Oreochromis niloticus: one gene and its partners. The protein of the gene in region 4 purifies or fractionates together with the protein of the main gene of each other region. This does not show direct contact. Links are inferred from orthologs where the notes say so. Each region holds a gene or a part of one and is shown on either strand. Other genes may lie near its edges.

Region 1 (7,924 bases), on a different chromosome or scaffold from region 4:
ACACTGTGTTGAAAAAGTATTTTCCCGCTGCCAGATTTCTTAATTTTGGGTATATTTGTCACAATTACATGTTTCAGATTAAACAAATTTTAATATTAGACTAAGGTAACCTGAGTAAATTGAAAAAAACAAAACAAAAAACAAACAAACAAACAACAAAAAAAAAAACCACTTAAATGATGATTTCATTTATTAAGGGAAAAAAAGCTATCTAAACTTACCTGTGTGAAAAAGTAATCTGCTCCCTTATTGAATCATAAACTGAATCACTAACTATGATTAACCACATTTTCTGGAAAGCTGAGCTCAATTTTACTAGCCACACCCAGGTATGATTACTACAAGACCTGTTGAATCAAGAAATACAGATCCTGTATGACAACGTGAAGTGGGCTAAAAGCAATACATTATGCTATGATCTAAAAGAACAGTTGTGAAACAAACTGACTTCCATGGGAGAGTTCAAACGAGAAAACCACTGCTAACAAAAAATAAAGCAAAGGCTCATCTCACATTTGGCAGAAAACAACTTAATAATCCCCAAGACCTGTGGACTAATGAGATAAAAACTGGAACTATTTTGATCAGCAGTCAAACATGGTGGTGGTAGTATGATAGTCTAGGGTGCTGTAATTCATGGAACCTCTATGCTCTCTATGAGAAAATCCTGAAGGAGGGTGTCTATCAGTTCAAGTGCACTTAGCTTATGCAGCAGGATAATGACACAAAACATGCCACCACGTCCACCTCTGAATTAAAGATTTTGGTGTGGCTTACTTAAAGCCTGGACTTAAATCAAATTGAGATGCTTGGAAACCCTCCAGTGTGGATAAATTAAAACTATTCTGCAAAGAAAAGTCATCCACAATTCCTCCAAAGTGATGTGAAAGTTATTCGCAGTTATTACAAACCTAAGTATTTTCTAAGTATTTTCCTGGAAATGATGGCACAACCAGTCACTAGATTTAAGGAGCAAATATGTTTTTCACACAAGGCCAGGAAGGTTTGGATAGTTTTTCCCTTAAATAAATGAAGGGAGCAATTCAGTGCTCTCAATTCTGTGCAGAAATCTTTATGTTCTGACGTTTATTGCAATAACTTGAATTAACACCAGTGACAGTAAACAACTGAAAGACTAATGTTCTTTTTCTTTGTACAGATATTAAAACAGACACCAGGATTTTTTTCCAGAACTTGTGAATCTGATAAAACAGAAAAAGCCACATGGACAGATCAACAGGGGGATCATCACAGCTATAAAGCTAAATAAACAAAGTAGATGCTGTACATGCTTTAGCATTACTTTGGACAAAATCAAGACAAACTGAGTCTGCAGGCTGTAATATGCAATATTCTAAATACCAGCCAACTGTTTGATATTTATAATGATAATTCCACTTGATCTTACCCCGCTCTGTCCAACATCCAGTTCCACGAATGTTGGCCTCCTTCCAACCCTCACAGCATAGCTGAGAAGCATCCGACACACCGTTGACTTCCCAACATCTGTCGGTCCCACCACCATCACCTGAGGGTCGATTTATTATTTAGTATTAATCCAAGAAGTATTCATGGGATCTGACAAGTTCCTGAATGAAGTAGTTCCCCAGTCAAACGTACCCTTGGTCCTCTCTCATTGTCACGCTCTGCTTGTTTTCTCATCTGTTCAAGGGCTGCATGTGTGTTTAGGTAGAGCAGCATGGGTGTATCCTTGGACACATAAGCAACCTGCGATGGTGACAGCAAGACGATGGTTATTTGTGGCTTTGCCTTTTTTACCCAAAGTAAAACACACAATGATGTGACAAAACGTAACACAACAGACACATTTGAACTTTCCCAAATCTGCAAGGATTCCCATCCACATGCTTACCTCTGGCTTCCCATAAAGATTCACACTGCAGCCTTGCCAAGTGAAAACCGCAATCTTGGAGCCTGGTCCAAATGTATACTTTTTGTTTCGGTTTAGCTCGGAGCCAAACACCTCAGCCATTCCTGTGAGGAGCTCCAGTTCAACTTGTTCAGCTGCTTCCCCCGACTCCACCTCAAAGCGAAGTTCAGTCTCCTTTTCCAGGTCATACCTGGTGCTGGCCTTTCCAGCTGCTGGAGCATCTTCACTCGTCTTTTCCACCCCCTCTGTTGCCATGACTGTCAACAAGAAACTTCAGGTTGCAATAACTTGGCAGAAGTAGCATGCTGAAAAGCAAAAGTTACATGCATACCATACATAAAGTAGTAATACGACAAAACATTACACACAGCTTCTCTAATAAAGCAATGCTTAAAGGAAAGTGTGTTAACACAGATGTTTATTAAGTATTTACAAATTAAAGTCACAAGCTAACTACTGAAGTCCCATAACTTTTTAATAACACTAATTTTAACTCTAGCATTACCCTTCACATTATTTTAAATTTGGTGTTTGAACATTGTATGCATAAAGGATAAACTTGACCACACAGAGTAACAGATCCAATTGTTTAAATATTGTGCTCGGTGTTTTCCGGCAGGATTATTCAATGTCAGATCACGACATTTTTTGAACATTTTCTGCTTGACCATTTTCGATTTCCCTGAAAGTTTTATGGTCCAAAGTTGGTCCATATATTTTCACATATTAATTCTTTGAAAAGGGTTTTCTATATATGAGACTATAAGTTCACAGCAATAATATAATATAACAAAACTTTGGACCGTAAGATTTTTATGCAACTCGATGTAGTCCAGCAGAAGGCCCACGATAATTTGAAATGGAAGGACACTTCAGTGATTTTGTCCTAAAACCACGGCGGTGGGATTAATCTTGGCTACCTGATAAGCCAAATTGCAAAAACACACCTGATTACGGACAATGATAGGTTCAAATAAAGTTAAGAGGGAAACCAGTTAAATCAACAAACCAGCTAGCGGAGCCACCGGGGGTAATTCGACCTTTCTAAGACTAGCAAAGGTCGAATGACTGCTTACAAACCCGTTAGATAATTCTCGCAACGTCAAGCAAAAGTCTAAAACGTAATAATTTGTAATATATAAAAGTTACGCACCAATTTCAAGACTTGTTGTAGAAAGAAATCGGTCCCGTGCTCATGAGGAACCGTTGAAGTGTCTGGTCGCGTGATAATGACGTCACATCCTGGCAACTATTAAAACAAAATGTTCGTTTGCCAAAAACGGAAGACTTTGAATCCTTTTTGTGTGTCTGCTATCCTTGCTTATATTGATATAAAAAACAAAACAAAATTTCGCAAACACTTAGCAGACGATCACTTTTTGGGTGTCATTGTGTGACGTCCTCACAACGCGACGTGTTTATATTAGTTTTGCACGTGTGACACAAAATTCATTATAGCATCTACTTTGTGACAGGAATGTTTTTCTACAAGAACTTTACTATGAAATGGGAAAATTCTGTATTTTGTTTCTTTCGAAGGCAAAAAATGAGGATGTATACTTTATAATAAACCTGTTAGTTATCTTAGCTAAATTTTATTTCCACAAATGCAAATACAACCTAATTTTAAACAGTACTATAATGATAGTCTATCTTACATAAAATTGATTAGTGGTTCACTTAATAAAAAGGCTATAAAAACAATTATTATTTGTACTAATTAAAAATTATCTGAATGTATGTAACGTTTTACATTACACCCCCTGGCATATGTTAATTATGTTTCAATTTGTATACACTCTCTGTATACTGTTGCTTAATAAAGTTCTATTAAAAAATTGGGGTGGGGGATTTGGGATGGCTTGATTTCATTCACACAAGAGACGCTTGACAGATAATAGATTACACAGATTAACAAATCTTCTTTCATTTCGCCACAACGGATTGTGTCTCTATCTCACTCTATCCCTAGCATTCTCCATGGTCACGCAAATCCTCTGCATGTCTTCCTTCACTACCTTCTCTGTGGTCTTGCTCTTTCCTCCTGCTTGGAAATTCCAGATTGAACATACTTTATCCAATGTACCCATTTCACATGTTCAAACCATCTCAGCCTTTCCTCTTTAACTTTGTCTCCAATCTGCTCAACCTCAACTGTTCTTCTGATATACTAATTTCTAAAGTCCAACAAGTGTTTTAAAACTGTTTAAATACCTGCAACCATTTTTAGCAAATATTTGCAATCACGTTTTGGCAATTACTTTTTTGCATAACACTACCAGAGCCCTCAAATTACTAATTAAGGGCACTGCTTGGGTTAATGCAATTAGACAACCTTCTGAAATATGCTACAAGGTACTTTGTCAGCTGTTTAAAACTATTAACCATTTCAATTAGTAAAATTTACTTTATTTGCCAAGAGTTCAACACACAAAATGCATCTCTAGTTTTCTTCTCCACACTTCCTGAATTTAAATAAGAAAAACTTTCCATAAAACAGATGAGTGTTTGGATAGACTTATAACAAAATACACACAATTACCAAAAAAAGATTTTATTTCTCAAAAAACAAAACAGACATAAAACCACTACTGAACTTTTGTGAAACAACAGTAAACAGCAGTAATGTGTCAGAGAAATGCTTTGGCTCAGCTAAGCTCCACTAGGTGTCACCGTGCACCCAGAAGATGGCAGCAGTTAGAGCATGGCTCATCAGAGGAGGGACTGAGAACATCTCCTTGGTCACTTCTCGTCATTTTTGCTTCCACTGGCTGCATCTCCAGAATGCTGGGCTGCAAATAATATGGGAAACGTTTTGTTAAAAAGACACTTGTACGCAACTGTTGTTCACTGAATAGCTGCATTACAATTCATACTGAAGACATTTTGACTTGATTCTCTTTACAGGGCTACATAAGTTAGCAGTTTAATGTGAAGAAAAAGTAAAGTTGCATTTTCTTATTTTGTATCTGTTTGTTTTATGCATTCATTATTCAGTCAAACTGCTTTGCCAAACCTTCACTGGGTGTCTAAGCCTTCAGAGCCTCCTGCAGAGCAGAAACTACCACTTCAGGCTGTGGAAACTTCAGCTTACGAGGTGGGCCCTTCTTTATTCCAGTCCACAGAGATGTTTCTTTAGGAATCGGGAAGAAAGTGTCATTTGTATCATTATTTTACACTGAAGGATCCATATTGCTGAGTAAGCGTGTTTACCTTTGCCCCCGTCCTGCAGAGTGATCTCGAAGCTGTTCCTGCGAGGTTTCTCAGGGTTGAGGACCACAGTCAGTTCAGGGCAGGCAGCCAGGAGGGCGGATTTCACCTCCTCAGCATTACGCCCGTACACTCGTCAGCTTTTACTGCCAGAAGTGAGACATCAAGATTACACCTTGTTGCAGATTTAAATAGTTGAGTTACAAAGTGAACTGTGATGTTATCCATTTTGCTTCTGGTTTAATAATAATATAAACAGATTTCATGAGAACCATTGTTTTTTTTCCACCTAATCAATACATTCACCTCTGATACTTAAACACTTGGATTTTTATTTGTGATTAAGTATTTTAAAACAACGGCTATATTTACTCACTTTACATAAAAGCAATTAGCATTTCCTTCACCACTGATTATAATGTGATTAAAAAAAAATACCAGTGTTCAATGACCACCCTGAGGCCTTCCTGGCTGCTTTCATCGTCTCCTCTGCCCTTCTTTTCCTCCACTGAAGGTTTCTCCTCCTCTACCTGAACTTCTGCTTTGCGCTTCTTCCCACCACGACCTAAAAACACACATGTGTAGTTTTGTGTTTGGCTATTTCTTGAATTTGTGTCTCCATATCTCATTTATCCTCTGTCCTTTTGACCATGACCCAGAATTCAATCAGACCGCACAATACTGAATGGAAAATTTCTAAAAACATCAATAGGACAGAGAAGAGAGTAGCCTGCACAAGAAGCTACATTTCAGGACTCAAGGGTGTATCTGTAGTGGCAGCTTGTCGAAAAGTGAAATTCAAAATTCACAATCAAAAGGCCAGTGATGCACAATGTGCAAGTAAAGTATGTAGAAGAAAAAAGAAGTCAATTTCCCAAAAGAAAAAATACATGCAGTTCATCGATTTACTTGATCCTTTGCAAGCAGCTGGCTCCTGTTGCTTCCTTTGCCATGGTTAAATAAAACCATAGGCCCTCCCTGGTGCATGCTGGTCCTATGCCCGCCCACCTACTTATTTAGCCTGAGGTGTCTTTGGCCTTACTAGAGTCTTACAAAAGCCCAAAATAAAGCAATCATCCATCCACCATTCCATCCATCTTCTTCTGCTTATTCAATTCAGGATTGCAGCTGGGTGTGAGACTCCCAGCTCAAATAGGGCGACAGGGAGTTTACACTGTGGGCAGATCGCCAGTTTGTCACAGGACTCAAGATGAACTAAACAACACAACCATTAAACAACGAACCACTACATAGCTCCAACAGTAATCTTTTCAAAGGTTTAAACAGCTGGAAAATACAAACCATGGTGGGAAAAGAGCTCCTTAAACAACTAGTTCTTTCTGTTTAGGTTACATGAGATGGTCACTGAATTGAAATAACGGAAGCCCTAAATACACAAAGATGCAATTACCACCGTTACATTAGAGGTCTTACAATACAGCAGTACAAAATAATTTCGGATGCAGCTGTGCTACATGTCATATTTAATGTATAGCATAATAAAATGAAGAAAAGAGTTCTGTTTTATAAATGCCCAATGCTCCAACTCCTCCTGTCATGCCCTTGGTGGGAGGAGAGTGAGTAGAGGAGGACTCAGGCACGTGCAGGCTGAGAAGTTTCATAACCCAACAGATAGTAATAATAATGACCCATTTAATGCGTCGTTGCATAATAAACATGGTCAGAAAGGTCAGCGCGCCGACTCCTGCTAGATTTAACGAGTTCAGAAAGTGAATAATGTACATATCTTCGCAGTTACTACTTTGCTCCTGCATGTAGCCATTCAGCTAAATGACCTACAAAGACAGGCAGAAACAGTCATGGGAATGATAACCGCTGCATCAAAATGGTACAACCCTCTTCCTCCTCAGTATATCAACCGGAGACAAACTCCGTTACAGCTTTTGTTGTAGAAAAAAAATCACGGTATTGTTTACATTCCTATAACACACACCCACCTGCTTTGGACGCCATTGCTGTTACAAAACTTTGGCGCGCGCATGTCGACTGTACCAATATATCTGGGAAGGGGGTTTCAGTTTGGCTGGACGAAACCATTAATGGGAAGTTTTCCGAGCATGAATGAAAATAAGATCTACCGTTATTATTTCTAATGTCATAAATGTGTTAATATAACTACTGTAATTTAACTAAAACTGCATTTAAAGTGCAAATACAAACCTTTTGTTAAACACCTACAGCAATAAAGTGTTCTTTCATTATCTTTGTAAGTAGCTATATACATATATACATGAACAGGAACATGTTTTTTTTGTATGGTGACACACTTAAGCATATACAGTTAAAGCAGTGAATGCGTGTTACCTGATTTAAAGGGTTATGCGTGTTGCTGCCTGAGTAAATTAAACATGTTTTTGTGTTTATCTCTGTCCTGCTGATTTACATTTAGGAAAAGGTCAAAAGTGCAACACAGTGATGTGGTGGTTACCACTGTTGCTTTGCAGAATGAATGTCCAGTCTTTGATTCAAGCAGTCTTCAGCCTCTTCCCAAAGTCCAAAAACATGCATTGGGTTAAGTTAATTAGACTAACTGGCGATTCTAAATTGGCTGTAGGTGTAAATGTGAATATTAATGGTTGACTGTTTCTCCATTTTAGCCCTGCGATAGATTGGTGATCTCTAAAGGGTGTACCCTACCTCTTGACCAAGGACAACTGGGATGGGCTTCAGACCCCCTGTGACCCATAATAAAGAAAGTGGATGGATAGAAAAACCATCATTTATTGTTGTATCAAGTCATCCAGTTGAGCACAGAAAAAAATCATTCTTGCATAAAACAATAAGTCTTTGGCTAGGGTAAGT
Region 2 (8,236 bases), on a different chromosome or scaffold from region 4:
ACACAATGTTTCACAACTTGTTGTCCTGATGTGGTCCGGATAAGACGCCGTTCCAAAACCACTGGGAATCACTTTTATAGTCTCTGACATAAACATGTGTGGAGTGTGAGCACGGCCAGAACAAATGAACAGACTCGTGTGTGACATCACAGTTTGAGTGTTTTAAGGACAGCTTTGGTAGGACACACCTGTGGGCACGTTTAAAGGACACGTCCTTCTTCCAGGTAATACCAGAGACGAGGCGATTCCAGAAGAAGACTGCATGTGCTTAGGAACAGGATCCTCCTGGAACAGAGCTCTGACCTCTTCATCACAGTTTCAACAACATCAGAATTACAGACAAAGAAATGAAAGCTCCAGTTTTAGACAGGATATGAAGAGGAATGACATCACACATGCTTGTAGGAAGCTGAGTAATAATAAATGTGTTGTTTAGAGAGGAGGAAGGAAGTCAGAGCAGCGTTCTCATAAGAGTTAATCATTGAAGATTTCTTTATAAAATGAGTTTGATTCTTCCACAGCTGAAGAGTCAAGGATCCATTCCCAGCTCTACAGCTCACCTGGAGATGCCCGCTGCATGAGTACTGAAGCCTCTCAGAGACCGAGCTCAATGAGCACCGACTGAAACTGAAGTTTAATGAGCCTCGTCTTTGTTGGTCTTTAGTGAGAACGATACCGAACAATGAGATCTCACATTTATTGATGTGAAGACAGAGACCTGCTGCTCTGTAGGAGACGTGAAGTGTTTTAATAGCTAAATGAAATTTGGCCCGAAACTTGTATCGTCTGCTGATTGTGTCAACATCAATTAAGTCACAAACTCCTCGAGGAAACCTTTACAGGTGTCCCTACTGCAGCACACCTGAGTAACATGACGATCATCATGTCACGCGTGAACGTGGGGCATTTCCCAAACACTAACACTTGAGGAGGGTTCGGGGCTGAGCGTGCAGTCAGGTGTTGCTAATGACCTGCTGATGTTACTCAGGTGTGCTGCAGCAGGGACACCTGTAAAGGTTTCAGGCCCTCGAGGACTGGACTCCAACCCCTGATGGGCCCAGACTGTAGTGACAGTCCCCGAGCCGACAAACAGCAGAGGAGCCAGCAGCCTGAGCATGCGCACTTACGGTCCGATCCGAGGCTCACTCCGGCTCTCCGGTCCGTCAGCTGATCCGATCACCGAGCTCTCGAGGGAGCGCCTGCTGCACGCGCCCGGTCCCGACCTGCCGTAAACTGCTGCGGCTGTCGCTGTCCTCCACAGACGGCAGGAGGGCGGACCGGAAACACGAGCGCTCAGACCGGAAGAAGCAGCGCAACTGCCGGGTCACGTGAGCTCCCTGCTCTTTCCTCTGAAAGTGTTTTTAGTCGAACAGCGTAAGAAGTAAAAATGAACACAGACCACGAACAGAGAACAGCAAACGGTCATGATGGGTCATAGGTCGTTTGGACGCGCTGGTGCGTCCGTGGACTCCAGAGGGTTAAATCACAGTTTTTGGTGGTTATAAAAATGCTCTGTGATGATGATGATGATGATGATGGCGGCAGTATGTAACACATGTTTTGATCTGATAAACACACCTGATGTCTGATCCTTGAAGACATCAGTCGTCAGAGATGGACTCCACACAGACGCCGCGTCGACAACACCAACCTCAAGCTTCGGCTTTTGGATCCGATGCTTGGAAACTGCTGAACTCCTCTTCAGTGGATGGAGTCCTGTGGACGTGTCACTACTGCCGCCCAGACTCTGACACAGCCTAATGTTCCTCAGCTTGGCTTTGATGCAGAAACACTCGTTTCACACCCAAGGATCCACTGAGGGCACGACAGTGACCAACCAGAGGACACCGGGCTGTCCTTTGGTAAACTCTGGGACACCTGCTGCTGTTTTTCAGTTTATTAGACACTAAGTTCAAGTGCAGCTGGACACACAGATAACTGGTTAAAGAAGTGTTTGTGTTTATTGTCTTACTGTTTTTAAGGTGTTTCTTAGAGCATGTAGAAAATCCATTCACTGCAAACATGTTAAACAGCAGCTTGACAGAATAAATAATTCTTCTGATAAAATCATGATATCAGTTTAACATAAAGTCAATATAACAGGTGTAAATGTAAACAAACACTTGGTGTTATTTTAACATGAGGTGACAAACACACAAATCATGTTGGTATGAAAGTTGTGCAGTTATACAACAAAGATTATCGTTGACTAAACAACTTTATTTCATCTTAATGAAGCAGATGGTTTGTGTCGGTGCAGGAGAGACCGATGAAGCCACCGAGCATTTCACTGGTTGAAGACAGAAATGTCCACAAACAAACAGCAGCTTTGAGCCGCTGCAGTAAAGGTGGCAGCGCATTAAAGAGCAAAGCAGCACGTGGTGACGTCCATGAGCTGTCAGTGTCGGGAGAGGGTTTGCAACCAAGTGTTAAAAATGAACGTTTTATTTTCACTTATCTTCAGTTACCTTAGAGCCCTGAAATGACGGCGTTGTGTTAGGAAGTCTGTAGCTCCTCACAGTTTTCTGCAGTCTGTGTTTAACTCACTGAGTTAAAGCTGAACGTCTGCACTTCACCTGCATCTGTTTCCTGGAAGATTCAGTTTCAGGTCCAACATTAGAAAACCGTCTGCGTCCAAATACCTGTGGACCTGCCTGTATAAACGATGAGCTGCCCTCATGGTGGAGCTCGTGTGTGTAAAACCATCAGCAAACTGAACAGAGGATCAGGGAGCTGGACCGAGGTCGCCTGGCCCACTTTAATCACTTAGTGATACTGAACACAATTTCCAGCGCCACCTAGAGGAGGAGACCATGACCTGAGGAGCGGCTGTCGGCTTTACTTTGACTGAACTTCTGCTCAAATATGATGCTAACCTCGTGGATCAGATGCTGCTTCAGTAAACTGGGATGTTTGTAGTGTTTCAAAGACGTGTGCGGTCCTGTGGCGGATGCTCTCGATAAATGAGACACAGCGTCTTTGCTTTTCTTTCCTTCTGTCTCACAAACCTGACGATCGGCTTTGCTGTGCTGCTGGGAGCAAACGTTACTGTGAGTCCCAAACTGGTAACTGTTGGATGGACGGAAGCGGTGCAGCTTCTAATCCCGACCACAGAAGGAACATCAGCATCTACATCCAACACACACACCATTTTTCCACACGTCTGAGTTCTGAGTGATTTTTATTACATTCTATCAAAGAACTGGTGATGATGGCCGGCTCATATACATACAGGCAGGAACAGCACACGTATGACAGAGAACATGATGCCTGAGCTGTCGCTGGGATTGCTGCTGTGGATGAACCGCACGCACACACACGCACACACAGCTCCTCCGCTGAGCGACTCTGACATGATTGGTCAGAATTGGCCTCCGATGATGTCTTGTTTCCTTTCGAGTGTTCGATCAGAGCGACTCACCTGCAGCAGCTCCGAGTTTTATTTAAAAGCAAACAAAACTAAATGCTGTGAATGGAGGTCTGTGATTGGTTCTGAGGTGCTCATTAGGGTTCAGCGAAGTTTCCAGCCAGACGTCACCACTGGACACGTAACCATACATCACATGAAGCAGCTGCAGCTGCCATGATGAGCACAAAGATGCACCGACGGACTCAGGTCCAGGTCATGTGACCCGGGTCACCTGGAGCCAGCTTCCAGTTTGGATTCGGGAGACAGACACTATCTCTACTTTCAAGATTAGGCTTCAAACTTTCCTTTTTGCTAAAGCATATAGTTAGGGCTGGACCAGGTGACCCTGAATCCTCCCTTAGTTATGCTGCAATAGACGTAGGCTGCCGGGGATTCCCATGATGCATTGAGTTTTTCCTTTCCAGTCACCTTTCTCACTCACTATGTGTTAACAGACCTCTCTGCATCGAATCATATCTGTTATTAATCTCTGTCTCTCTTCCACAGCATGTCTTTATCCTGTCTTCCTTCTTTCACCCCAACCGGTCGCAGCAGATGGCCCCGCCCCTCGCTGAGCCTGGTTCTGCCGGAGGTTTCTTCCTGTTAAAAGGGAGTTTTTCCTTCCCACTGTCGCCAAAGTGCTTGCTCATAGGGGGTCATATGATTGTTGGGTTTTTCTCTGTATGTATTATTGTAGGATCTACTGTACAATAGAGATTGAAAATGTGACGTCATTCCGGGGTAAAACCGCAAAGGATTTTGGGAATGAGTGGCAAGCCATACTAGCGCAGGCTTTCACATGAAAACAGTCACACAGCGATAAAAAGAAACACAAAGAATGGCAAGAAGCTGTTGTATTATTAACTGCAATAGCCGGTCACATGACAGCTACGGGAAGCCGACGGGTAAAGAGATCGGTTTTTATCGGATTACGTCGTGGAAGAGAAATTGTTCAAGCCATGTTTCCGAAGTAACAAAGAGGCGACGGATGACCTGGATTGCAGCCATTCGAAGACCAAATATAACGTCCCAGAACACTCCAGCTCACATGTTAGTCTGCTCCAAGCATTTCCACAAAGGTACGTCTTCTGTTGTAGTATTACGTAATTTATCATCACATAATTGTTGATGTAGGTTACAAATAAGTCTTATATTGATTTGGATTGAATACGTTGCGCTATGCTGCTTTGTTCACTGTGGCTTTGCGGGCTAATGTTTGTTGTGTTTTGTAGGAAAACCAGCCTACAAAATGCTGGAATGCGATCCAGACTGGGCACCTCTATCACCCTGGGTCAGACCGAGTTTAAAGCTGCTACCACAGCCAGATTTGATCGGTTAAGAGAGAGAGCGACATCAAAACAGCCACGAAACGTCCCGCATATATGTGCCCAAGGGTTGTATTGAAGCAATCAAGTGATGAATAACTGTTTTCCAATGTTGTTTTCCAATGTTGTTTTTTTTTTTTTTGCATTGTTGATTTGTTTTTCACTGAAGCAGCTAATAAAGCATGATGGATTTTTACAATTTTGCCTCTTTCTTGTAAGATTCTATAATAGAATGAAACAATAATGCCAGTTATAAATAAAGATAATAAATTGAATGAATTATGAAACACTTATGTTATTTCTATTAGATCTGAAAATGTTGTGTAATACTACAACCTGAAACGACAAATAGATGCGTTTGCCTGTACAGGAGATAAAGGAAAAAAATGTAACAGCAGCTGTGAAATGGAATAGTCCAAATCACCAAAGTAAACTGGACCTGGGCTTGTTGCAGGGATCTGAAGTTACTAAACATCTTGTGAGTGTCTGCACTCACACTTAGGACCATATAATAATAAATATGTGTGTGATGAAAGTTGGGCAGCACGCTAACGTCCTTACTCCGCTCTGTACGCTCGTACGGGTCTGACCCTTTCACTCCTTTGATTTTTTCCTCGTCCTTTTTTTTTGCCTTTTCGTCAAGTCTGTCTTTGTACGGACCTGCTGTGTTCTCCCTCGTTTTGTACATAACTGTTTTTGGGGCAAATAAAATGCAAGTAGGGATTAAAACTGCAGAATTAATGATTACCGGCGCTGGAAATACTAGCGCCTGATGCAGTGTTTTGATTTTGTTGCCACGGGTACCCACAAAGCAACGCGCGAAAGTCACGTGGTCTGTCGATCTCTATATAAAGCACCTTGAGGCGACTGCTGTTGTGATTTGGCGCTATATAAATAAAACTCAATTGAATAGATTCAAACTGTCGTTTCACCTCTCCTCACACACACACACACGTCCTGTCCTCACACACACACACGTCCTGTCCTCACACACACACACGTCCTGTCCTCAGGCCTTGTGTTGGCGTCTTGTCTCGCATCACCTTTGACAGAAACAAAACTCCGCTGAGTTTGTAACTTTGAACCTGGAGCTGTGTTTGTGACAGAGAGACAGACAGCAGGACTACAGACAGAGAGCTGCTTTATTAACCCGACACGTCTGCGCTTCTCAACAAAACATTTACAGCAGCTGACATCATCAGATCGCAGTGGCGGGGCAGCGTCCAGCTGAAACGGCAGGGCCGAGGGTACGTTTAAGGCTCGTTTGGATTCAGGTAAACACCAGACTCCTGTGATGTCACAGGGCTGAGGTGAGTGTCTGCAGGCAGGAGGAGGTCCTGTCATGTCTGATAAGTTTGTGTTAAAATAAGCACGCGGGACAGATAAGAACGATATGAAACATGATGCTGCGCCCCCAGAGAGGCAGAGCTTAAGGCTTCTCTAAAACCACAGAAGAAGAATCCACACAAACGCAGGCCTGAAGGGCACATGACCCCTCCTCCAGCATCTCCTCATCACGACGCTTCTTAAGGATACTTCCTGGACTCCACAGATCACTTCATACAAGACATAAATATCTGACCTGCTACAGTTGCTGTTACCCGGGTAACGCAGCCCCTTCCCCCTCAGGTGTCCACACTTTTCTGATGAAGTCACAGAGTTCCTGCTCAGCAGCCTGAAGTAAAGTCATTAAAGGGTTAAACGTGTCAGAGACCAGAGGACACTGTGATTGGTCTGCTGCCGGCTCACAGGTGGGCACCTCAGTCCTGCAGACTGGACCTGGGTCACTGACGAGTTTCAAAGCGGAGATACACCTCGGACAGCGACTGACACGGCTTGTGATGAGAGTCTTCACGTTCTGATGCTCAGACACTCAAACCTACAGTGATGTTCTGGCTCCATCTGTTCTGGCTCCTCCTCCGGCAGTGAAATCAGGTTGGGAGCTTCTCTGACCTCCTGAAACGTGACACAGATGGTCACGAGCTGCTGAACGCTCTTTCTGTGTTTCCTGAACATTTCAACAGTCTGCAGGAACACAAACGTCCTGAATGATAAACCCCGCCCTCCTTGACCTCCTGCTGACTGGCTGGTGGGTGGGGTGACAAGGCACTGTGAGGTCATGTAATTGGTGGTTTCTCCTAAAATCCTGGGTGTCTGGGTTCAGTGAGGTTACTGAGAACCAGCACAGACCGATCCAAGTCCAATCACAGCGAGTCCTGGACCTGCGTCTGTAGGCTGAGGCGCTGGGCCAGGGTCAGAGGTCAGGCAGGTGAGGTCGTGAATAGCAGCACAGGTAAACAGGAGAGCAGGCAGCTGTTGCTGGACAACAAAAAGAAAAAAGAAAAACAGTCAGTGAAACCTGCAAACAGAGCTCAGAGTCAGTGAAGACCACAGTGTTCATCAAGCTAATGTTAGCTTTTCAGCTTGTGCTAATGTTCTTGAGATAGCATTAGCAAGTAGCTGTGAGTTAGCTGCGCTGCAGAAACGTGCTGATGTTTCCCAGACGGCACAGCAATGTGTTGACCTCAAACATTCGCCCCATGGGTGGTGGCCCATCTACACCTATACCTACAGTTACATTATAAAATTCAGCGTGTAGGCTGCTACAAACATGTTCAGTGTTGAAAAAATGATCCCTGCATTCCTAGCTCCATGTATGACGGGTTTCAGTACTTCATGTCTTATCACTGTGTCCAGGGGCCCGTTCTTCGTACCTCGCTAAGTAAGTTAGCCGGATTTGAATGTTGACGATTTCGCGTGATCTTGGATCGTTCGGTTCTCCGAAGCTCATCTGGGACTTGCGGTCATAGCAACAGATGCGTAAGCGTAAACCTGCTCGGGAGCAGGCTTACTTTATGTAAACAGGATTAGATCGCGGCCACTCAGGTATGTCCGCTGCAGTTATATGAAAGCAACAGCGATATTTCGCCACTGTTTTACCATAAATAAATATTATCAATGTAACTAAAGATAATGCAGCATTTGATTCTTTTATTGATTTCATACAGATACATACAGGTCATTTCCGAAAAAAAGGGAAATGTACTATTAATCATTCTATTTCATGTATTTGATTATTTCAGATGTAATTCATATTTTAGAGTAGTAATAGTAAATTACTACGTGCAATCAAGATGAGAGACCACGGCTATAAAAGCGAAGGTGGATTTGGGAAGTCTGTCGCAGCCATGTCCTGTCCGTTTGTACGCGAGCAAGGAAGGTGCAAGATTGATAAGGAGAGTTTACAGAATTTAGCGTATATTGCGGGATAGACAGGATCCTTTAGCTCAGCGCGACGGTGTGCTCATAGAGAGATATCGATTCTCCCGTCAGGGTATTATTTACTTTCTTCCTCTCTCTCTCTCTATATATATATATACTTACTGTACTGTATATACTTACTCCCGACTTACTGTGCATGCTTCAGTCACCCCTTGCATGGGAACAGGTAAAAGTGATGGAGTGTTATGTCAAACTACACACAAAAAACCCCACAATGTCA
Region 3 (7,933 bases), on a different chromosome or scaffold from region 4:
ATGTCATGAAGTTTAACATTTAACATGCTGACACTGATGTAGAGTCTGAGATTGCACGGTCTTAGTTTACTGAGATGTCCACTACTGAGACGATCGCATCATTATCTTTCTCACAGGAGGAGGATGGACATCAAAGTGTTTTAAAGGGCTTTGTAACTCTTCCCAGATTGATGAGCAGCAATAATTACTTATTTAATATCACTGCTGACATCTTTCATCCTTTGTGCTGAAAAATATCATCAGTGCTCTCTGGTGGACACAAAATTTAATGGCCTCAATTTCAAAATGATTGCAAGCACAACTTCTGCTTGTTGAATTATTGGCAAACACACTATATACACCAACACAGGTATCTCTGCACTGCACTCCAAAATTAATAAAAGAACGTTTTAACGATTTTTTTGGTACTTATAAAGTCTACAAACTGAAGCGGGAAACAATTTGCAACTTTTATCGACAAGCTGAGTTAGTTGGCGTGCTAACTCAGACCTTCGTCAGCAGCCATTTTTGAAACAGGTGTTACTAATCACATTAATCAAAGCTCTGCATTTAGTAACACCTGTTTACTTACCATTTCCAGCCAAAATGCCTGCTGTGGAAAAACACCTTTAACATTCATAACATCCCTCAAATCATACTTCAGCATTGGCACCAAGTTTTTAAAAAATAAAGCAATGTTTACCTTAGGTCCTTTTTTTTAAAAAATTAAGAAAGAATACATTTTGAACTATTAGTCTTTCTCACACCTGATGTTTATTTCAAAATAAGGCACATTTGTTTTTTTACAATAAATAAAACAATCACTGACATTTATAATAGGTCTTAATAATTGTGTTTAAGGGATTCATGTCAAAAACCAATGTGTTGACATGGATTATAAACCATAGGCGTAAATTTCAGGGGGACACGTGCACACAGCCTCCCCCAAAATATTAGACTTGAGACACTATCCCCTTGTGTCTACTTTCTGCGTTGCTTTTTAGACAAACAAGAGACATTTCCCTCATGAACAAATGCAGAAAAGGTACAAAATGAAAATAATGAAATGAAGTGTCTGATCTAACCCACTGGACAGCTTCGGAAAAATCAAAGGAGTGCATAGATTATGAACTTTTAGCTGTATCTTCATTAGTGTTACAGCTTTGCCATTCACACCACAAATGACAGATAAGTTCCTGTTTTCCTACAATCTACTATAGAAATGTCTGTTTTTGTTTTACAACAAACAAAGATCATTTTCCTTAAATTAACAAAGACTTTATATTTCAGAATTGCAGGACAGTCTGGGTAATGAACTACCTTTTCAGGAACTACTTTTCCTGTAATTTTTCACATTTATCATATATATATTCACTGGCTTCGTAGCTGTAAGTTTTGTGGATGCAGACTCATCTGGCCCCATTGAAAGGTTTCTATGGAGGCATGGAAACGAGATATGGCATCCCTGATTTCATTGTGAAAGCTTCTAGTCAACTCTGTAGTGTGCATACACTGCAGCAAACAAACCACACCACTCCAGATTGTAACAGGAGTTCAACTGTCATTAAAAAAGGAATGTTACTTCTAATCTCTGCACCCTTTTCTTAAGGTTAATTTTATCTCTTTGCCTTAACCTATCAACATGCATCTGAGGTGAACTTCACGATGCCAAAGGTCTCCGCAAGGTCGTCCTAACAATCACATACTCCCGCTTAAGGGGTCCTGTGGGGCTGTTTTCCATTTTTGAGCAATACATCACATTCTCAGTCAGCTGCTCAGCGCTGCTGCCGTCTCTTCCGGTGCTGACGGCGTCCCACATCCTGAAAAGGTCCTACAGGAGGGTCCGGCGTCACCAGGCCGTCAGTCATCCTCTGGTAGACCAGCGTGGAGTCAGCGGCTACTGCACACAGCAGCATAGGAAAGCCTCTGTCCAGGACGTGTCGTATGCTGCACAGCAGAAAAGGAAGAAGCCGTAAGACTCAGAGGTTTGGGAGGGTAACCTGTGAGGGTGAAAGTGTGGGAGCTTGACCAGCGTCTTAACACCTTTTGTGAGTCACAGACTGGTGAGCAGGCAGGGGAAGGATCGTCAGAGTGGGTGCGCCTTCCTTCTCCCTCGCTTCCAGTAAAACCACCTGCAGCTCAGGACTCTTCACGCAGGACACCTCCTTCCAGCGCCGCACTGCAGAGAGCAAGCTCAGTGTGAGTATGAGCTTAAGTTATGACATCAAGTTTTTCCTTCTGTAAGAAAGGAGGAAGAGCTGGGAGATGTAAGGAGTCCAGGATACACCACACAGGGAATCTCAAACTGACTCCCGTGTTTCAGAACCCTGCCAAACTCACCCTCAGTAAGATCCATGTACACAAGAAAAGCTGCATGCACCTGAGCGCTGTCCCCAACCTGCAGGTCCTTCATCTGCTGGTACTGAGAGACACACACACACACAGATTACTCACAGTACATTCCGGGCAGACTCCCTGCCTGCACACACGGAGCTGCTCTAACACTCACCGCGGGATGCTGCAGGATCCAGTTCGGAGGAGGGCGTTTCTCTCCGCCTGACGCTCCCGACATGTTCGTTACCAAACAAAGCTGCAAGCGAAACACCGGCTCAATAACCACTACGTGACGCCATGCTGTTGAAACGGCACGCTGTCACCCAGTGCGACTGTTAAAATCGTCCGTGCGGAAACGTTTTTGTTGTCCGTGCAAAACACGTACGCAGACAGGAGACATCACCTTTCGGGGGCTTTTTTTTTTTTTTTTTTTTTTTTAAGTCAATCATTTCTTTTCATCATGCTAGTCCTAAAATTAACTTATAGGTAAATACTGGGCAAAGGTTTTGAGCCACACATCATTTCTTTGTATTTTGCTTCCGAGGAGACTGCCTCTCCTATTATTTTTAAAGTGGTCCTAACAATACTTCTCCAGACTCTGAAAAAAATAGGAGTTTTTATTTAATTTAATTTGATTTTATGTATGTTTGCAAAATATAAAAAGATGAGTGGTGACTCGGGAGTTTTGCTCAGTACTCTATGCACTAAATTAGTTCCTGCATCGTTATAATTACTTTTTACTGACATCTAATGAACTGCTTCCACCAACTGATCTTATATAAAAGAAAGAAAGAATACAAAACTGCATTTACAGCTGCCTGATGACTTTATTCATTTTAGCGAGACATTGTCTCATCAAAAAATAATAAACAGTAACATTAATGTCGATGTTTAATTTGCAGACTCGCAAAGCCTGGGATCTTTAGATATATGAGCGCCACTGCAACAAACACTATTAGAGACATTATTGTTCAGTTAAATGACCTGGAGCCTCTCATCCACACACTGACAGAGACATTACTGTAATTCTACATAATGTGATTGACTCCATAACCAGAGTCTATATTCAGTCTTTGATCACTTTTTTATTGAATCATATTTTGTCATTTTTGTTTTCGCAGTCGGAGCCCATGCATCGCTCCTGTGTCACTTGCTCTCTCTTCACCCTTTCCTCTACCCAATAAATTCTCCTGAAACCAAGAACCTGTGCTTAAAAAATAGATTTACTGTATTCCGGTGTTTAATGTCAGTTGTGTGTCCAATTCACAGGTTACAGTTCTACGAATACTTCACCTTAAAAACAAAAATCCAACAACATTTAATGACATCATTTAAGGCTGGGGAAAAGCTTTCCGGTTATGATGCACTATTTTGCTGACCAGCCATTTATTCGCCTGAAATCTGAAACCAGTCTTAGACCAAAGGGAGAGGATGTCATCCATAGCATTAATGCTACACTGACAGCTGCGAACGGCAAGTGTGACATTTGAAAATCTCATAATATTTTATCCATAATAGTAAAAATGCCCACAAGATTTCTGGACTCTGATGAAACTGGTACCAGTTGGAAGTTTTACTGACAGTTTGAAACTGGGTGCTGATGAGTTAAGTTCCAGAGGAGCACAGAGCTCAATCACTGGCTGGAAGGTGAAGCTTGAGAAGTTCTAGTGCATATTGTCATACTGCTGGAAAGTTCGGCCTTCTTGTAGGTAGTGAAGAGCCTATGAATCTGAGAAATGCAGATTCATAGTATAAGAATCTTTTGAGATAATTCTGTTATGATCATTTGTGTGCTGGAAAAGCCATTAAAATATGTTTTGAAAAATGTATTTGCTTGCTTGCATTTTTCACAGTCCTCCTCTCAGCTGTAGGCTGTGGCTATAGACATTCAGACTGTGACTATAGATGAGGTTGTCTGCTTCCTCTGACACTGCAACATCTGGAAGCATGTGCAGACTTAAACTGTGCACTGAGGACTTTCATTGTTAAAAACAACTTATCTATAGTGAACAGGAAGGACTTAAATTGATGATGGCTGTTGTCGCCCTCTAGGTGGTGCAGCAAAAACTGCAATAGGTGTGCCGTTCTTGCACCCCATCCATGCACACACACACACACACACACACACACACACACACACACACACACACACACACACACACACAGAGAGAGATATGAACTCTGAGGATGTTTACATGTGTCATGTTGAACTCGCTGCCTGGGCTGAGGCCCCATTTAACTCTACTCATTTCCTTTCCCGTGTGGTGTGTGATTTTTCTTCTGAGATGAAACGCTGTCTAGTCCCAGCTTTAGATATCAAGAAAAATAATATTTGTGTACAAACCTCCTGGAGTGTCGGTGTGAATACTTTTTAAAATGGGGACTAGAAAAGAAAAAAGAAAACGTTTAACAGCCATAATTATATAAACAGACCAGCTGATCCAGAGTCAAGTCAGAAGTTGTTTGAGGACTTCCTAGTAATCCTGGCTTCCACACCTCAAGACTGGCAAATAATAGTGTATCAGTTTTTCCAAAATAAAGTTTGTTTAGGAACAATACATTGTGTGTAGCCATGATTAAACATCCAGCCAAGTTTAAGTGATAAATGCCTGGAAGTGCTCCTCAGAGTTAACATGCAGGAACATATGGCAATGTAGAAGAGTGGCTGTCAAGAAGTCATTCTTAAGGAAGGAAAACAGGGAAAAAGGCCGAGGTATGCCAAATTGCACAATAACTGGTCTGGAAATCAGTGGGAACAGGTGTGATGGAGAGATTACTCTAAATTTACAAGTTTTGGTTGAAACCATTGTCATTATGTATCGAGGAGGCCAGGAGAGAGCTACAACAGTGGGTGTCTACAGCCGTCTGTAAAACACGGTGGAGGGTCTGTCATGGTTTAGAGCTGCGTTTCAGCCAGTACTGTTGGAGACCTTGTTAAAATTGGTGGACTTATGAATGCAGAAAACTTTTTAAGGTTGACGCTGACAGAAACTGAGAGACTATATATAACCTACATTCAACATCTGTTAGAGCTATAATGGAAAAGGAAACAATGGGACTTTTTTTTTTTTTTTAAACTATCTTTACAATCATGTACTTCACAAACTGATTTGAAACTTACTGTGAACGCACCAAACTCTGTGTGTTCAGGTGTGACGTGTCCTCTGCTGCAAAAGTGCTGAGTGCTGAGTGCATTGTACATTATGGAGTCAGTAACCTGGCCCAACCTATATTTGTGTGGGGCTCTAATTATGGGATAGTGATAATATATAGCATCATAGTTTCATTTCATGCTATGTAAATATCCACTTATAGGGAGAGAAGTATCTTTATTAAAACATGAATTCCAAGTCTATTATTTTCTGTTTTATTTAATCTGGTGTGATAACTGTAGTAATGACAGTCCGTTAGTTTTATTAGATCATGGCAAGAAACATATCTGTTATAGATGCTGTGTTATAGAAGTCTGTTATAAGGCCATTAAATATAAAATCAGTAGTTAAAGGAAGCAGATTTTTTTTTTCATGGTGGCAACACTATGAAAATGCATTATTGAAATGAACTATGCCAATTCAAGAGAAAAAGCTCTGTTAGAGACAAGAAGGAGTCCTTGATCAGATACTACAACTCCTCTGCTGACAGTAACACCACATTTAATACCACGTTCAAATGCCATGTTAGCTAAAGCACTGAGTCACGGGAGGTAACAGTGCTTTGCTTAAAGCCACCCGAACTATGACCTTTAATTGAGGTTTCTGCTCATTGAAATGGTTGACATTTCATAAAGTATGACATGCTTTGAAAACCTTCAGGGAAATACTACAGTCATATACTACTGTTATTAACTCATTGATTAGCATGCCTATTAGCATATTAAGCTATGATTTTAAGTGTAGTGGAAAGTAGTTTTAGCATCATAGTTTTTGAGAAGTTATTGCTACATTTGTGTTGTGTTGCAGTTTATTTATATCATAAAGATAAAGGTTTAACAAATCTGCTGAATAACCTGAAAAAAAACATTCTGTAATTACAAATGTGCACGAGTTTGTATACAATACATGGACTGTATGTAGGTCTGTGTATGTAGATGGAGTTATGATATATTCAAAGTGAGCATCAGAATGGGGAGGAAAGGTGACTTAGATGACTTTGAACATGGCATAGTTGCTGGTGCTGGATGGTCTGTCTGAGTATTTCACAAACCGCTAATCGGCCGGGATTTTCCCCACACAACCATCTCTATGGTTTACAGAGAAGAAGAAAATATCCAGTGAGCTGCAGTTTGCCCAGCGAAAATGCCTCATTGATGCTAGAGGTCGGAAGAGAATGGCTTTGAGCTGATAAGAAGGTAACATTAACTCAAACAAGCATTTGTTCAAGTCTGCGAGAGAGCATCTCTGAAAGCACAGCACATTGAACCTTGATGGGCAACAGCAGCAGAAGACCACAGCAGTTGTCACTCCTGTCAGCCGAGAACAAAAAATTGAGGCTGAAAATTACACAGACTCACCAAAATTGGATAAAAATTAGAAAAACATTGCGTTGTGTGTTGAGTGTCAATTTGTGCTGTGATATTTGGATAGTAGCTTTTGGCATAACCAACACAAAAGCATGGATGCATCACGTCTTGTATCAACAATTCAGGCTGGTGATATTTTCTTGGCATACTTCGGGGTACAAACTGTGCCTTGTATGAACACCACAGCCTACTTGCCAAAAATCCATCCCTTTATGGCCACGGTGTTTCCATCTTCTGCTGGAACAGAATGTCATAAATACTCTCAAACTTGTTTCTTGAACAATCTTGAGTCGAGTTCACCGCATTCAAATATCCCCGACGGTTAACAAACCTCAGTCCATTAGAGCACCTTTGGGATGTGGTGAACCAGGAGACTTTCATCACAGATATGCAGCCAACAAATCTGCAGCTCAATTCAGTTCTATTCAATTCATATAGCGCAAAATCACAACAGAGGTCATTTCAAGGTGTTTTATATTGTAAGGTAAAGATCCTACAATAATACAGAGAAAACCCAACAATCAAACGACCATCTCTGGTCAAGCACTTGGCAACAGGAAAAACACTCTTAACAGGAAGTAACCGCCAGCAGAACCAGGGTCGGGCAGGGCATCTGTCCCAAACAGTTTGGGATGAGGGGAGCAAGACAATATGGACCAAAATCTCTGGGGAATGTTTCCAGCACCTTGTTGATTCTATGCTACAAATAATTAAGGGAGAATGAAAGAAAAGGAGATTTGCAAAGTGTACCTATTAAACTGGGTAGTGAGCCTGTTTTTCCCCTAAAGTGAGGGTTGCTCATAATATCATTTTAGCGTGAAAGGCAACTTAAGAGTTAGTTGGATACTAGTTAAAATATAATATTTAAAATCTTTTTAGGCGAGTTAACACCACCTTAAATGGGCCACAGAACAAACCAAATTAGGACCATAATTCATGTAACCGTATTTACTATCAACAAGGAATAATTAGGAAGCTGATTTAGATCTTAAACAACAGCAAACATAAAGAATAAGCTAATACTAATACAGCCAATCGGCTACTAGTATGCAATAACGGTTATCACTTGTAGCATACAATACGGTATTGGAAAGTTAATTT
Region 4 (7,903 bases):
TGTGAAGGACTGCTAGGAAAGTTTAACATAACTAATTGTCTGTCCTGAATCAGTCTTATTAGGTAATGTTCAAATAATGTTATCATTCCAGTGTTTTCAGTGTGGGAGAAAGTACTCAGGGCCTTCAAGTTACACACTATGAAAGGCAGCAACAAGTTTAATATTCAGAAACCTAAAGTATGTATCAGCAGCAGAATGGAGCTAAAAATAAATGTTTGTTTCAGTTCTATGAAGCTTTGAGTATTTTGGATTAGTAGCACTGCTGTGTTTGTTGCGTCATATTGCTGTAATTGTTTATATGCTTTATATATTCTGAGCTAAGTTGATCTATAGTGTTACATCATATTCTATAAGGATGTTATGTGTTTGTAGACTTTCTGCCCAGTTTGACCCATTTAGCAGAAGTCAGCCTGTTTAAGGCTCTGATATCTATTCTGTATGACTTAAAGCAGTTATGACATGGTCTGATTTTCTCACCCAATAAAGGAATATTTAATATATCAGTCTACTCTTCATTTTATCAGACACAGTTATCACAGCTCGTACATTTTGTTTTTCCACATATATGTAAGCACTGAGCTAAATTTAGTAATGTCAACATATTAAACGAACAATGTTTGTCTCTTATATATAATACATCTGTATATACACTGTCAGAGATACTTGTCTTTGAGTGAAGATTTAAGGAATAGGTAATATAAATAACAGCAACTTGAATCTTTGACCCAGAGTTCAAGCTCACTGCTGTAATATATCCTGTAAAAAAATATATTAAAAAAATAATATATGTATATATATATATATATATATATATGTATATATATATATATATATATATATATATATATATATATATATATATATACATATCATAATAATCTGACAATACATATAATATTGGCCATATTATATTTACATTACCACAGTGAGATGATTTTAGTCTCATGAACAACATTAGCTAATTGTTATTTACTAACTAATCTTGAAATGACTGTTCAGTACAGAAATGAAGCCCAACAATCATGTTTCACAGTCCTGTGGTCTCAGCCTCAGATACTCAACTAATCAAAGTGATGTCATGACAAAAATGATTGACCAACAAAACATTTTTTCTCCTTCATTTATGTCACACAAAGCTGTATGTAACGTTTCTCGCGGTTAGTATCATGGTTGCTAGGCAACCTGAACAGCGCTACGAAGGCTAGACCGTCCCATTTCACAAGCCTCTCACTTCCGCACTTCTTGTACTTATATTACGCACCGTACGTAGTACGTGTAGTGCGCGTACTTCAAGCGTGCGGTCTCTTAATTGGGACACAGCCTAATATACAGCACACGGTGGAGTAGTTACAGCGTTTGTACGTCCTCCACAGTGAAAACGACAAAGTTTTACAGGTTAGAGTGAAAAATGTCTATCATGTATATTTAATCTCTGTAATAATCTGGACATTTATCATTGAGCTATTTGTTTATATAGTGCTATTTCATATTTTTTGTAACTTTGTAATATATTGTATTTAATTTATATATTTAATTTAGTTCAGTCTGTTACTCTTCTTACTCTTATTAATAAAGGATTCTGATTTAGTCATAAGTGTATCAGCAAATTGCTCAGTGAGGTCAGAGCACCGGTTTGACAGCTGTCGCCCCCTGGAGGCCGTCTGAAAGACTGCAGCTTTACCTGAAGCTCCGCCTTCTTTATACTGTCACACTGGCACCCTGGGATGTAGAGTCCAATTAGATTATCAATAATCCAGATCAGTAAGGGTGCCAGCGCCGTGCTGGCAGCCATCTGTAGCCGTGGATATAAGTACAGGTGAGTGTAAGGAGGTCGTGGCACCTTTATGGACACTAGTATTTAAATCCAGCATTAAAGTGCAGGACGCTGCGGCAGGACTCTCCTGTTTATTTCCTTCTTCCTCTTGTCTGAATGTTGAACACTGACGTCCTAACGGCTTTATGATTGGAGGACAGTGTGAGCGTCAGGGTAGTTATCAAAGTGAGCAATGGGGTTTTACTGCAGGATTCTAACCCTAACGGCTAACACAAGATGTGACGTCAAATTGTGCGCTCGACACCAGGACCGGCGACTTGGTGAAACTCTGTTGTTAGTGATCTGACCCTCTACCACTGGATCCTGCTGTTTCCCCTATCTAAAGAAGAAAAACACCCGTGACAAACCAACTCTGTTTCAGAAAGACAGAACTTGTGTCCCAGTGGCCAGTGCTCACTGGAATAACTAATTATACTGGGACCTGGAGTGGAAGAAAATTTGGACCTTATCATCGAAACTCCAGTTAACCAACAAAGTAAAGAAAATATCTTTGAAAATCATTCATCGTTTTGACCCCACCAGAACTTTTCTTGTACGATATAAAAAAAGACTGATGTTAACTGTTCATTTTGTTTCCTGTCAGAATGAAGAGATTGCTCACGTGTCTTTGTCCTGTTTATCTACTTTATCTTTCCTGGTGGGATTTCTGTGCCTTTGTTGTTTCGTTGATCTATTCTGACCGCTCTCTCTGTTATGGAAAAATAATGTTTGGCTTTTTTGACCCTGGAAATAAAGCAAACGAAGTTTATTTGATTAATTTACTAATCTTACTGGCTAAATCTCAATCCAAATTTTCTAATGCAAACCAGGCAATATGTTACAACATTCCCATAAAGCTGCTTGTTTGATATGTTGTTTCAGCCCCAGTCTGTGTCTAACGGCCGCTACACGAACCCCGTGACCGTCTGTGCCCGTGTAATTCTACTAATAAAGTTAAAAAAAAGAAAAAGAAAAAAAAGGCTGTTCTGATTCTCACGCGCGGCTGTTAGCTCTGTAGAAGATGGGAGGGGCTCGGGTGAGGTGGGTGTGGTCAGACCTGGTCGTGGATCTTCTGGCTGTGTTCCGGATCACAGACCAGCACGTGCTCATTGAGGAGCTCCGCCCGGAAGTGACTCCTCTCGCGCGGGCTGAGCGGCAGCGGAGCCTCGAGCTCCTCCGTGACCCGGAGGCGGCGCCGGGGAGCCCGGAAGTCCGCGTGCATGCTCCCTGGTGTCGAACCGGGCTGGCACTGCGGGTCTGGCACTGCTAGCTGTTAGCCTCCGCGCGGTTCGTTTTGCTGTGGCGTCACCGAATCTGTGTCCGACTGGAACTGTCGATCTTCTCCGTGTAGTTCCACCTCCAGTTCTTCTTCTTCTTTTCCCGTAACCCGTTACCGCCCCCTGCGGGCTCCTGTGTGTCATCCTAAATCTGACGAACACTTCCTGTCAGGCTAAAAACGGAAGCTGTGCCTTCGGTAATGAATTCATCCATTCACGCTGCCAGCACCACCTGTGTGGATGCACTCCATCCATCTGCCACTAAAAGCCTCTGAAACAGGGGCGGATCTACGGGGTGGCATGAGGTAGCACCCTAAAATAATCTCTTGCCACCCCTACTGCCTCCTTGGCTTTGCATGTGATAATGTTGTTTATTAAAATAAGTTAGCATTAACACTTTAAGCCTAGCTACAAGTTCACACTAAATATAAATTGTAACACATATTATATTGTATAGTGTCACCCCCGCCCACATCTGTGCCGGAGCACATTTTGAGCAACACCATGGGCATTTCAGATTTCAAACAGGTGGTGTGATGATGAAGGTGAGCGCTATTAACCCTGTGTGTGCTGCGCCTCCAAATCACATGACTGATTTAAGCCGATATAGCTACAAGCTGCAGCCACGCTGAGTCGCTGTTTCAGCTTGTGTTGAAAGTTCAGACTCCAAACTATATATTTGTAAATTTTATTGACAGGCTACTAAAACCAGAGTTATGATTAAAAAAATTATATACACGATGCTTTTTTTTTAATCATAAAAATGCGTTTTCTAAGGACAGCACAAAAAATAAAAGGAAAAAAAAGCCACCAATGTACCAAAAAAATAAAAATAAAAATATGGCAACACGTGGGATTGGTTCATTTAGGAGGAGGGGGAAGTGTTGGAGCAACGGTGGTGAGAGAGAGAGAGGGATATGGACAGCGAGTCTTAAGTTGTGAGAGATTTGTGACGTTTCTCGTGTTTGGAGTGTGTAGTTAGTGTGTTGTGTAGTCATTTGTTTTGTTTTGTGTGTCAGTGAGGGCACTAATGAACGTCACAAAGGCAGACTGCAGTGTAAACGCTGGCTCCAGGACGAGTGATCCACTTCCTGTTGTTAGACCTGCAGGTTTATCCCTGTGGGGTTCTCCTCTGTCTTGTGGTGGACAAACTATTTTTTGCACTGTGGGGCATCTTATTGTGTCACCTGATTGTTCTTTAATTTTAGTTTTAGTAGTATTCTTAAAAGGTTATACAAAAATCACCAGATGCATTGGCTGCATTTTTAGGTCAAAAGTTGTGTATAACTTTATTGTTTATCAAATTTTTGCACGAGTTTTTAAAATAAAATGAACTTTTTCCTACTTGGTTTTTATGTTCTTGTGTGATTTCAGATGAGTTGTATTAATACAGCATGCCAATGAAAAACTAACTGTGAATTCAGACCTTGTGCTGAAAAGAAAAAGGAAATAAAATAAGGCGAGAAAAAATGAATAGTAATAAATATAAAATCAAACATAGTTAAAAATGAGCTGTTGTATCCTGGAGCCCAGCGGGTTAACCCAACGAATCCTGAAAAATTAGGTTTAAATTTTTGGTGAAAAATGTTTCATGACGTGCACATTTCTGACATTTTGTGTAAAATTAACTTGATTATTTGTAATAAAAAGAGTGAAACTGAAGTTAGACTTGTGTTTGTAGCTGAACCATGTTTTGTAGCTTTCTGGATTTTATACTTATTGGGCTGCAAACATATTTATTAAACAGGCTATACAGTACATATATGATGCATATTAGAGAATGTAACACCTACATATGTGTAAATGGCTTTGGTTTCCACGCCAGCCTAGCCGTGCCCCTGCTCTGATAGCATTTTGATTGGTCTGCACTGAATCACAGAAACACCTGAGACCTCAAAGTGTGAAAATCATTCATAGTAAATGTGAGAGCTCAGAGTCAAAGCAGCAAAACTCATTTGTTACTTCAGGAGTTTGAACAACGATACAAATAAAACTTTTTCTGAATAAATACCTGAATATGTGTTGTGTATGTAACACAGCCGTGGTTACCAAAACAAAGTTTTACTTCTGCTTCAGCCGAGAGTCGAACACAGGTCAGTCACAGGCAGTGTTGGTCAAGTTACTTGAAAATAGAAATTAGTTACTATTTACTGATTACTTCTCCAAGAAAGTAATCCCTTTACTTTGCTGATTACTTATTTTCAAAAGTAATTAGTTACTTTATTACTTAGTTACTTTTTAAAAACATGATACAAACCTGAATATGTAATAAAGCAACAGACCTTTCAGCCCAATTCTATTTTTCTGCATAATCCATCATATACAATGGAATCAAATGAAAAAGTCTCTTTTTAAAACTTGTTTTATTTGTTTTAATCTTTTTAATTTTATGCACAACATTAAATTATATTGACTTGAAGAAATATGTTTAACATTTATACCTATTCTGCATATTCCAGCATATAAAATAAAATCATGTTTTGTGTTTACACTCACTCTTTGAAATAGATGCATGTAAAACACAGCAGATTCAGCAGCACTGAGTCCTGTCGCTCTTAAATCTATTGTTCAGCAGGAGTGGGGCGGGTGGAGGTTTGCCCACAGCAGTCATGTCAGTGGGGGGATCCGGGGCTTTCTCTGTGAACGTCACATTCCCGTGGCAGCGTGCTCGGTGCTCGCTCAAATTTAGAAAGAAGTTTTCTTCCCACACAGAGTGCACAGCGGACACTAATGTTTCTGTCACTTTTTACAGAATCAAACTCAAAGTAATGTGAGTACTTCCACGCTTTAAAGGCTGCATGGTCACACTCTCTCCATCACTCCATTGTTGATCTGCACACGTCTGTTGCTGCCACTGAAGCCGCACGCTCGTACGTCATTGTCATGAGACACAAACAAACAAAATCACGGTTTAGTATTGCAGTAATGCAGCGTGCTTACGGGAAGGTAACAGTAATCTAATTACTTTTTTGCAATAGTAATCCCTTACTTTACTCAATCCCTTACATGAAAAAAGTAATCGGATTACTTCAGATTACATATTACTTACTTACTACAAGTTACTGCCCATCTCTACACATTTTAATGCACATGAAGGTGAAACGCTGCGTTCACGGGCCGATAGAAGAACTGGGATTTATAATCAGTGTTAATAATCACTGTTCTTGCACACACTACAATCGTCATGGCGATGACCCACCCGCCACATTCTGCCCCCGAGGGTGAAAACCTGCAGCTCCACGGCAGGAAACAGCAGAGAGCTGCAGGAAGTGCGATTTAAGAAACTTTATTTCAGAATAAAATAAAAGTTGTAATTTCCTCTGAGACCCTCGGTGTGGCTCAGGGACAACAAAAGGTCAAAGTTCACACAACTAACGCTAGGGCTGTTTGATATAACGATATATATCGGATGACGATATAAAAACGTCTATCGTTTCATTTTACGCTATCGTTTGTTTCGTGGTGTCGCAAAATAAACTGTTTACGGCAATATTTTTTCATCATTTTGATGGTCACTGTAGTGGCTATATGAATTTCTTAAAGTTCTGTCTTTCTCTTATATTTAATATAACCACACTACAGACAGACAAGCGCCTGTTTTTATGGGTTGTCGTTAGCAACAACAACGGTAAAACCACGGCATGTCCGCTTGTTTATTTTCCACATAAACCTTTCACAATAAAGCTCAAGATCCTGTTGAGACTTTTCAAAATAAACTGAATCACATGAAAGATGCAGAGTATTTACGGATGAGAAGCAAAAAAAGAGCCGTCAGGTGCTAAAAAAAATAAACCTTAGACTCAAACGTTAGAACAGGCTTTTCCCCGCAGCACGCTGTGTAATAAATACTCACAAAGAAAACGGCGGCCGTTACAACTTATGTCTAAAAATGTATCGTTTCATGCATCAGTTAAAACACTTGACTCCAGGTCCATGACGCCCAGCTGGAAACACTTCACGCAAGTCGAGCTGCCCGAGATTCACAGAATTTACAGAAAATGTTACATTTTTGTGATTTATATCGTTATCGGACGATAGATGTCTTAATATCGGGATATGAGATTTTGGTCATATCGCACAGCCCTAACTAACGCGCTAAAGAAAGAAGGTCAGATGGAGGACGAGCAGCCTCACACACACAGACATGAACCAAAGCTGAGCTCACTACATGAAACAGAGCTGTGTGTGTGTGTGTGTGTGTGTGTGTGAAGGTGAGTTCATTGCACATCAGGTCTGACACTGAAGCGTCACATGTGACCGATGACACACTAACACGGACTCCATTCTGGTCGTGGGTCCGACTAAGTGGTCACAGACACAGTGGGTGAGGCTGGTCTCTAGCTGCTGGGCTCCGCCCCCTGAGCGTGCTGCTGTCGATCCACCGTGTAGAACTGGTGTTTCTGGATGTGCCTGTACAGCGTGGTGTATTTGGACACCCTCCTCATCCTCGGCAGGATGAAGGTGTGGGTGAAGTCGTCTCTGCTCAGAGTGCCGCGGCCCTCGGCCGCCAGAACGCCGTTCACGAAGTGCAAACAGAAGCTGAAGCAGTTATGGTTGTTTTCATCGAACCTGCGACACACAGAGAAAAAAGCTGTCGACAGATTTCTACACCTGTAGGTGATGGTGGTGACGGCGCCGTGGCGACGAACACACCTGTGTCTGGCGACCACCGCGGGTCACCTGGAACCTGTCTAACAGCGAGGGAGGCTCATAACGACAGAAAGCGTACAAGCTTCCTGCCTTCAACCAGCTCTCAAGTATACTGTCAGGTGAGTCAGGTGTGAGTTACCTGTGCCAGGCAGGGTCCCACATA

The links.
Region 1: the proteins of tsen2 (region 4) and clp1 purify together in Homo sapiens (affinity purification with mass spectrometry; 3 studies listed by BioGRID and IntAct, counting the BioPlex papers as one, with this or other methods). This does not show direct contact. The link is inferred for Oreochromis niloticus from reciprocal best matches to the Homo sapiens genes TSEN2 and CLP1.
Region 2: the proteins of tsen2 (region 4) and tsen34 purify together in Homo sapiens (affinity purification with mass spectrometry; 3 studies listed by BioGRID and IntAct, counting the BioPlex papers as one, with this or other methods). This does not show direct contact. The link is inferred for Oreochromis niloticus from reciprocal best matches to the Homo sapiens genes TSEN2 and TSEN34.
Region 3: the proteins of tsen2 (region 4) and tsen15 purify together in Homo sapiens (affinity purification with mass spectrometry; 4 studies listed by BioGRID and IntAct, counting the BioPlex papers as one, with this or other methods). This does not show direct contact. The link is inferred for Oreochromis niloticus from reciprocal best matches to the Homo sapiens genes TSEN2 and TSEN15.

The regions. Positions count from the first base shown.
Region 1 is NC_031966.2:22,597,468-22,605,391, forward strand, and holds the start of clp1 (polyribonucleotide 5'-hydroxyl-kinase Clp1), read right to left. Parts: upstream 3,216-7,924; 5' UTR 3,045-3,215; intron 2,197-3,044; 5' UTR 2,147-2,196; coding exon 1,874-2,146; intron 1,729-1,873; coding exon 1,621-1,728; intron 1,529-1,620; coding exon 1,409-1,528; intron 1-1,408. UniProt on the Homo sapiens protein: Polynucleotide kinase that can phosphorylate the 5'-hydroxyl groups of double-stranded RNA (dsRNA), single-stranded RNA (ssRNA), double-stranded DNA (dsDNA) and double-stranded DNA:RNA hybrids. dsRNA is phosphorylated more efficiently than dsDNA, and the RNA component of a DNA:RNA hybrid is phosphorylated more efficiently than the DNA component.
Region 2 is NC_031979.2:39,752,168-39,760,403, reverse strand, and holds the start of tsen34 (tRNA-splicing endonuclease subunit Sen34), read right to left. Parts: upstream 3,332-8,236; 5' UTR 1,128-3,331; intron 868-1,127; exon of another isoform or gene 561-867; intron 306-560; exon of another isoform or gene 189-305; intron 1-188. UniProt on the Homo sapiens protein: Constitutes one of the two catalytic subunit of the tRNA-splicing endonuclease complex, a complex responsible for identification and cleavage of the splice sites in pre-tRNA. It cleaves pre-tRNA at the 5'- and 3'-splice sites to release the intron.
Region 3 is NC_031982.2:10,347,625-10,355,557, reverse strand, and holds tsen15 (tRNA-splicing endonuclease subunit Sen15), read right to left. Parts: upstream 2,706-7,933; 5' UTR 2,552-2,705; coding exon 2,489-2,551; intron 2,402-2,488; coding exon 2,320-2,401; intron 2,159-2,319; coding exon 2,023-2,158; intron 1,927-2,022; coding exon 1,755-1,926; 3' UTR 731-1,754; downstream 1-730. UniProt on the Homo sapiens protein: Non-catalytic subunit of the tRNA-splicing endonuclease complex, a complex responsible for identification and cleavage of the splice sites in pre-tRNA. It cleaves pre-tRNA at the 5' and 3' splice sites to release the intron.
Region 4 is NC_031970.2:1,298,276-1,306,178, forward strand, and holds the start of tsen2 (tRNA-splicing endonuclease subunit Sen2), read right to left. Parts: upstream 3,235-7,903; 5' UTR 3,036-3,234; coding exon 2,871-3,035; intron 1-2,870. Other genes in the region: MKRN2 opposite strand protein, read right to left, coding at 7,428-7,659, 7,880-7,903.